Linked DNA regions of Caenorhabditis elegans. The protein of the gene in region 1 interacts with the protein of each later gene in a pairwise test. Each region holds a gene or a part of one and is shown on either strand. Other genes may lie near its edges. The genes, in order: F12E12.6 and coh-3.

Evidence for each region.
Region 2: the proteins of F12E12.6 (region 1) and coh-3 interact in a two-hybrid assay, tested with the Caenorhabditis elegans proteins (one large-scale study listed by BioGRID).

The regions. Positions count from the first base shown.
Region 1 is NC_003280.10:3,735,338-3,738,762, reverse strand, and holds F12E12.6 (CCDC92 domain-containing protein), read left to right. Parts: upstream 1-1,819; 5' UTR 1,820-1,866; intron 1,867-1,912; 5' UTR 1,913-1,972; intron 1,973-2,022; 5' UTR 2,023-2,100; intron 2,101-2,393; 5' UTR 2,394-2,419; coding exon 2,420-2,444; intron 2,445-2,495; coding exon 2,496-2,624; intron 2,625-2,672; coding exon 2,673-2,800; 3' UTR 2,801-2,834; downstream 2,835-3,425.
Region 2 is NC_003283.11:14,455,740-14,460,883, forward strand, and holds coh-3 (Rad21/Rec8-like protein C-terminal eukaryotic domain-containing protein), read left to right. Parts: upstream 1-1,682; 5' UTR 1,683-1,735; coding exon 1,736-1,797; intron 1,798-1,843; coding exon 1,844-2,046; intron 2,047-2,090; coding exon 2,091-2,257; intron 2,258-2,306; coding exon 2,307-2,467; intron 2,468-2,514; coding exon 2,515-2,651; intron 2,652-2,698; coding exon 2,699-2,829; intron 2,830-2,876; coding exon 2,877-3,056; intron 3,057-3,106; coding exon 3,107-3,239; intron 3,240-3,312; coding exon 3,313-3,523; intron 3,524-3,573; coding exon 3,574-3,678; intron 3,679-3,726; coding exon 3,727-3,837; intron 3,838-3,886; coding exon 3,887-3,990; intron 3,991-4,039; coding exon 4,040-4,158; 3' UTR 4,159-4,402; downstream 4,403-5,144. Other genes in the region: bmk-1 (Kinesin-like protein), read right to left, coding at 1-608, 659-865, 915-988, 1,138-1,140; F08H9.2 (SPerm CHromatin enriched), read left to right, coding at 4,926-5,144.

The DNA.
Region 1 (3,425 bases):
TTCATCACCCAATCATAGGTTGAATTGATCATCCGTTGTATGCTTTCAATCAGCTACAGTACCCCATGCTCGATGACTTTCCGTCATGAGTCACGCGCACCTGCACTCCGTGCCAGACGCGTACTGAACTCATCTCTGCCAAGAGGGAAAATGAGAAATTGAAGCTTCAAAAAGAAATAGAGTTCAGTATGTATGAGAAATCAGTTCTACAATAACTCAATTTCTCTAGAGCTTTATTTTACATAAAATTTGAACAAAATTTGAATAAAACAATAACTAAACACCTATAAATTATAAAACTATGGCATGCGCGGATTTTGGAGGTGGAGTGGTGAGCCAGAAGAGTTCTAAAAAAACATTTTCTTGTATTATTTTAGATTTTGAACTTTTCCAACTCACCACTTTTTCTTCACGACTTTTGCTGCTAGTTCCGGGCTTTCAAGTCTTTAGCCAGACGTAAATGCATCCCCGTATTCACTATCATTGTGTTACATTGGAAAGTGTTGGAAGTTCGGAAGGACTCTCTGGTTGCGGAAAGTTGTTAGAAAAATGCTCGACGATTCTGTTGACTAGCTCAGTGTCGGCGGGCTCCGCAGTTCGACAAAAGAGCTTGAAGAAGATGCTGTAGATTTCGAGCTTGTTTCTCCAGATCTGAAAGACAAGAAATTGGAAAGAAGAGTTCGGGCGTTTGAAAAAAAAACCTTAAAAAATTAACTCACACTATGCTTCAACTGAGCCACACAATCCTGAAGCAGGTCCAGCTTCCCAATCAAAGTTTCAATTTTCTCCAAATTCTTGTAGCAGTCCCTTTTCAGCTGTTGCTTTGCAATTATTTCCCATATACAACTCTTTGAGCTTCTTCCCTGGGTAGCCAAGAGATTATCCAGCGTCTGCTGGGCTATTACAATGTCAAGCTGGTGCTTCCAAGACTTGTAGTTCATGGCTTCTTGATGCTTGTCCTTGAAGTTTTCGTAGATCTGATGATCATCTTGGATTTCAAATTGCAATCTCACATCCACCTCGATGCCTGGAGACTTTTGCAGGATTGCCTCCATAACTGCCACCGCTTTCTTCACAAAGTCTTCCACACTTTCAGGCACAATTTCTTGATTCAATTGCTCCAGACGATCTTTGATCGCACTTGTTTCGACAAGAAATCCTTCGAAAGCTGCCTTCTCGTTGTGATTCCGTCGAACGTAATTTGCAGTATCTTGGCAATTCCTTCTCCGTTTTTCTTATGCAGACATTGGGATTTTTACGTATTTACGGCCGGCTCTTCCATGAAAAAAGTTATTGCGGTCGAAAATGGTGATATCAAGCTTTTGAGTGGCTTTCTTCAAGTCGGCAAGGGTCTGGAAAGATTTAAAGTTGGAAATTTTGATAGGTAGGAGCTGCTTACCATAATTCTGTAGTTTGGAGCTGCAGGCATCGTGCTTTTGATCGCAAGTTATAATTCCTGAAAGAATTAAAGTTAGAAGACTTTCTAGATTGACAACAATTTTAAGAAAAGAAAAACTACTCAGAAATGTTGTTGTAAATTCGCCCCGCGGACAGCCGGAAGGCGTACAGATCGCGTCTTATTTTGGCGGTGGCGGCATAATAGAAGGTGTTCGTGTTCATGTGTTTATGTATTTCTCGTCTAGCGTCCTCTCACTTTCACACACACACACACTCTCTCTCTCTCTCTCCGCTCACAGGCATAATACCGCGTGTTAGCTGGGTGTCACTTTATCATATCCGACTCTTGTGGCAGCCTTCTTTTGTTTTTTTTTCTTTTAAAATCCAAGTTTACTCTACCGTACTCTGAATTTTCAGAAACTTCGCACAGTATGACTCCAGCGCCAAGTTCTTCCTCCAGCCAACTCCGTAAGTTACCACACCGGAATTTTTTTGAAAAACTTTAAATTTTCAGATGAAGTGAGCAAAGTCTCGAAGGCAGTTCAGGAATGAGAAAAGTGTCACACACTCAAGAGTAACTTAGAAATCAATAAAATTTAAATCAAAAATACCTCAAATTTTCAGAGAAATTGCACCACGAACGTCGTCGTAAAGCGGAAAGTGACAACCAACGGAAAATCAAGGAATTGCAGAATGAAAATGGTAAGTTTTTGAATTTTGGATACTTTCTTACCTAATTGTCTACCTGCCTATCTCCCTACCTACCTGTCTACCTACCTACTACTTACCTACGTACATACCTTCCTACCTACCTACCTTACCTTGTGCCTACAAAAACCTACTCTCTGCATTTTGACGTAAACTCAGGCACAAAGAGGGCACATACTCCTGTGTCTTATTGTAAGTGGCAGGTACGCCTGTGGCAAGGCAAAGAGGCAGGCAAGCATACATTACATTAAAAATAGGCGAACTAGACTAATATTTTTCAATTTCAGAACAGCTCAAGCTCGATAGTGATGAGATGCGTCATGCTGCTCAGGTTCTAAGTAAATCAGCACCCTCTTGAAGCTTCAAGTTTCTCATTTATTAATTTTCAGAGAACGAAAACCAACAGCTCCGAGAGCAAATGAAGGAGTTCATCCATAGTAAGACGATGAGCATAATCCAGACACAAGCGGAGCTCCATCATTCCTTGCTTCTGAAGACTCGAGTCTTGAACAGAACACGTTAGTTGACCTTAAGTACACGCATATTATTGATTATTGATTTTTCAGAGTCCGACCTGGACAAATGCATGAAGCACAAGGAAGAGATGAGATCCGAAATGAGAAGGCTGAATCGAAAGCTCAAGAGAGCTCAGGAAGCCAAGCAGAACGAGGACTTGAATCTCAAATTTTGTTAGTTGTTCGGAAGATTTTTTTTTTTTGCATACTATAATTATTTAATATAATTATAATTATTAAAATATACTACAGTGCGTCCAACTTCTATAGCACCCCCCTCCAATTTGGCGGTTTGGAGCTTCTCAAAATATTTTTTGAAAAAGTGCTAGTGCAGTTTGATAGCAAATGTTGGAAAACCTATGCTCCCCAATTTTTATTATGATATCTCAAACACAAAAACACCAAAATGTTCAGACGGTTTCATTTTCACATTTAAAAAATAAATATAACCCCTGAAAACACGTGGAACGCCTAGGATTGTCCTGGAACGTTCGTATTTGCTTCATAAGCCATTTCTCGGCTCCCAATGACTTTCGCAGCACCAAACTTGACCAAAATGATCTTCCCCACCTATGTATTACTATTCAAATAATTGTTGAAAACATTTATTCATATGAACCAAATGGTAAAGGGAGCAACTGCAGTGATTTTCAAAAGGCTTGATTTAACTATGAAAACTAGCGTTTGGAGGAGCAGAGCTGAAGGTTGGTAATACATTTTCGACTAAAAATTACTAAATTAAAGCAAAAAAATAAAAATTATATTATGTGAACATCAAATCTGTGGAAATCCATGGATACATCA
Region 2 (5,144 bases), on another chromosome or scaffold:
GGCCATTGGTTGTCAGTAAACGAATTACTCTTCCCAGCGTCAGAAGCGATTGGTTAATGGAACCAGCCTCTTTAGCACGATTTCCTTGTGCTCCTGATCGTCCGATATTTTCAGAACCAGCCAAGTCAACGAGATTAAGCTTTCCTTGCTTCACCAGTTCCTCGCCAGTGGTTGTATTCTCCCGAATGACGACATTGACCATGAAGAGACTGTGAGATCTGCTACTGTGCATGTTCATCAAAGTGGCCGCCGTTCGTCTTTTCTCAGCACCCAACTGTAGAAGTTTGAAGACATCTGAACGATTTCGCACAGGCACTTCTTCCACGCCCGAAACGATTACTCCCTTCTTGTTTGGATCATCAAAAATGCGAAGGCGTTCACGATCTTCATTATCCGTCGAAGCCAAGAGATCGAACAGTTCTTCATTGTAGAGTTCGATGTAACTGACTCGAAGCGAATACTCCTCACAGCCGCATCTTTCCAACTGCTCGAAAATATCCTCAACGGCACGAGGTATGATTCCAGTCGTAGGGTCATCAGTTGAGCTTTTTGCGTCTGTTCTCCCTCCTTCCATTGTGAACGTTTTTCCGGTTCCAGTTTGTCCATAGCTGAAAATTACTATTATATTGAATATTATTGAACCGTCCTGTCTACTAACGCAAAAACTGTGCAATTAAATCCTGCGATAACCTTCTTAATTTGTGATGACACGAGGTCCGAGTAGATTTCTTCCTGAGTCGTGTCTGGGTCATAGGTCCGGAAAAATGGGCCAAATGACTTTCCCTTCAACTCGATAGCTTGTTTTCCTTTGTCCACTTTCACAACGTTGGTGCACTTTTCACTGCGCTCGGTGCCATTCATTGGCCTATAAAAGGGGCATATTTAACTGAAGTAAAAATAAGTTTAAAACTCACCGAATACGAACAGCGACTCGCAAATTGGACGTGGGCTCGGAGTGCTTCTTGCGGGATGCCATTGTCGAATCCAACTAAAAATAACTAATAAAAATTGTAACTAATAAAAGTGCAACAGGAAAATCAATTTGAAATACAATGATTCGCGGCGTCGTGCGATAGAGCGCACCCGCAATAAATGCATTTACCTCATGGGAAAGAAAGTAACCTGCAAAAATCTTACCATTTTAAACAACAACCCAAGTGAATCGAATGACTGAAAACGAAAAATTAGCAGGGTATTCGGCAGTAGCACAAGATTGAGACAAGAAGAGCAACAAACCGAATCAATAGAGAAATAAAAATGAATTTATATTTTTAGAAACGTGATAACTACATAAGTAGTGGTTAATTACTGTGATATATTTGGAGCGAGGAACAACGGAAAGGACACGCGAAAGCAAAGCATAATCGCAAAATTAAATTTTAAAACTTCTAAAGTTTTTAAAAAAATTTGTTCCTCATAATGCTTAAAAATCTCATCGAAAGCAAAACTATAAACATTCTAGAAATTAAAAAAAAATGGCGATTCAAAACTTCGCGGCTGAACATTGCTGGGTCCTGTCACGAAACAGCTAGATTTGATGTGTGCGCCTTTAAAGAAGTAGTACGGTATGCAATGGTCTCGCAGCGATCGAGCAAGCTTACGCGGAGTTTTCAAATTTATTTTTGGGGTTTTTCACTTTTTTATCATTTTTTCGTTTCTTTCGAGTATCTGCATTAAACATCTTTGCAGTTAAAAATTGCAGAAAGTCAAACGGGTAAGAAAGGTAACAATCAGCATGGTGATAAGCATCGATGTACCGCTCAAAGCGTCGGAGGAAGCGACTGTGAAGTTCCTATTGTAATAAAAAGTATTTTATGCCGGATTAATAAATTTTTTCTTGCAGAGGAATAGTTTTTGGTTCTCACAAGAAACTCGGCTTGCAATCAAATCGTCGTGAGTGCTTCAGACACGATGTTCTTCAAGCAAGCAAGCTCATTCAGTGGATTCTCAGTAACGAGAGGAAAAACAGAAGATCTCTCTCCATTGCGTGTAATTTGGTGTACGGAAACACCATAGTTCTCAGTACTCAAGTTGCTCGACTTCTTCGTACGTTGCCAGTATTTAAATTATCACTTTAACAAATATTACAGAAGATGCAATTCGTGCTCGAGAGATCGTCGCATTCACTTCGTACCTCGCGGAAGAAGATGAGAGGAAACGAAAAACTCGTGAACAGATGGAAGGTGACAACTCTAAAACACCAAAGAAGAAGAGAAGAACGATGGTTGAGGAATTTCCTCTCACTCCTACCCCGATCGTAAGTCTAAATGTTTCAAAAATCAAAATTAAAATAAAATCTATTACAGAGTGTGGCTCTAAAACAAAACATTACAATGCCAGATGTTCTCAGTCTTCACAAGAACGACCAAATTAACGTTGAAGACGATTTGGCTGCACCAACAATGGAACAACTTGAAATGATGTACGGGATGTTGGAATCAGAAAATCGGAACACAGCGATTGATTTGTAAGTTCTCTCCTTATATTGTTTGCAATATATATAGAATATTTCAGAACATTCATCGATCGATATTCCTCCAACGATTGCCGTCAAAATGTTCATAATCTGAATTTGGAGACTGATTTTCAACGCCCATCTGATGACTTTATCCGGAGCCAGCTCATGACACCTACCAAATCTATTCCACAAGGTTGATGATTAAAAATGAATTGTAGAAATATTGTTTTTTATTTATAGAAGAGGAATTTCAACCAGCCACACACCTGAAGGAAATGCTTCTTTTCCGCCAACTCCCCATCACACTAGACGAAACTGAGAGAAGAAGAAGCATGGAAGAAGAAATGGAGGAAGCGAGGAACTCTGGAATCGTATGTATAATATTTAAAGTCTTTAAAAACCGAATGATCATTTTCAGAACACCGAGTTTATTCCGCCACAACAAATGGATGTTCCACGACTTGTCTCGGAAAACATGGATCTAGATGACGAAGTTTCGATTCCAATAAGAATTCCCAAAGTTCCTCTTAGTGCTACAAAGAAACAAACGTCTGAGAACGAAGGAGCAGAAGAAGGGATCAATTATAAAATTCCATTAGTATGCGATCAAGATGAGAAAACAATATTATTCCGCTTTTTTCTTTTCAGAGAGAAATGCATCACATAATGGAAGATTATTCCAGTCTTCACTTCAAAGACCCGGAGCCTCTATACCGAAAGACAAGCAAAGTGATGAATTTAAAAGAGCTGTTGAACCCAATTCCTTACTTCCTTCGAAAAGGTGAGCACTTTTAACCGTTTCTCAGAATCTTTAGACTTTATTGACGCTCCCTGTTTTTATTGTAACGTTTCAGGATGCAATACAGACATGTGGGATCTGTTCAAGGTGAAAACGAGGAAGTTTGATTCCACAATTGGCCACGATGTATCTGATACTGAAGAAGAGGACGAAGACGAGGAGACTGAGAGAAGAAATCGACTTAAAGCTGAACTTGAGCCCTTGGAGACCATCGACTTGTCACAGATGAAGTTCATGACGACTCCACTGAAGGATAAAAGTCCTATGTAAGCATTTTACATAATCACCAAGCTTAGAGCACATGAGTAATTTTCAGATTGACTCCAGTGCATCGACCGGAAGAAATTGAGTTTCGTGAAGAGCTCGAACTTCCACGGTTTGAACAATTTGAGCCGATGAATGTGAATCCGATTTCTCCAAAGTTTCAGTTTGGTTTTTTGAGATTTTGAATATGATTTTTATGTTACAGAATGGAAGAGCCGGCGCTATTTGAAGACAACTGGAACTCCAAACCGACGTGGTCAAATACAAGTTCTGAAAACATTGCGGATGCGCTCACCATCCGTGGGAATATTATTCGGTAGGCTGAATAATAAGGTTGCATTATTTGTTCAAGCGGTTATTTTCAGCCAGCTGGATGATAAAAGCCCCTTCGAGGTCACTCTGGATTCGATGATCCCGGTTGCTGCGACATCTCGACGAGAAGCTGCTCGGACATTCTATACAGTTCTTGGTAGATTAAATAGTTTATTACGTCATTTTCAATATTTTGCGTGTTTCAGAGCTCCTCAAAGAACGCAAGATTAAGGCCACTCAACGTGCTCCGTATGAAAATATCGATTTGCTGCTATCAACGGATGATAGTGAAGATATCGACGATCTGGCAATGGCTGATTTCTAACTGCACACTTTTTCCTTTTTCTGATGTCCTCTTTAGATCTGCTAGTTAATTACTATTATTGTATTTTAGAATTTTTATCTTAGTAGTGTAGCTGCATTTAGAATCATAATTATTTCTCCCACTTGTAAAATCTTTCTGTCCATTTTAATTTTTTTTCCCTTCGTGGCTCTCATGTTCAGTTTCCATCGTGTCTCATTCCTATTCCCAGTTTTTTTCTAGATAAAAACTCATTTCGTTCGAAAAACGTTGTTACAGGTAGCTTTAAAGGCGCACACTTTTTCAGTCGTGTCAAGATCATATACATAAGTCGTGAAGTAGTGTTTTTCACAATCTTTAATTGCAAAAGTGCTTAAGTAGCTAAAATCGCGAAAAAATACGAAAAATCGCCTAGAGTTGCCGTAAAGCAAGAAATTAATTATCTGCTTGTCCGAGAGGAGTACACACGCGGGGGCGCTCATTTGCGCGCGAAATTCAAATTAAATTTACGGCGAGATTTTTTTCGGCACTGAAGGCTCATAACTTCCGTTACATTTTTTTGACATATCGATTTGTCAGAGCATAGAGAATCTTCTAAAACACAGTCTCAAATTCGACTACATCACCTTTACATAAATTGAAAAAAAGAAAGTATTTTCCAAAAAGGTAACTTACGTTTGACCGTGGTTATCTCTTATCTTAAAAGGTCATCTTTGCTGACTATAAATATTTGAAATTCCATCAGACAAATCAGTTTACTCGATTTTGTTCCTTTTGAACAACAATACTCGATGCCCAAGTCAAATAGAAGAATCGTTCGTGCAAGGGATTCAAAAGGACGCTTCCTACCCGGAAAGAAGGCCAAGTCTGTTGCCAGCAAGTCTCGTTCGAGATCCAGAAGCCGCAGTGTTGTGAGCCGTAAGACGACCCGTACCAATTCGTTGACTCGTCGTCGTTCATCGACGAAAGCTCCTTCGTCTGCCCGTCAATCCAGATCTCGCTCAAGATCT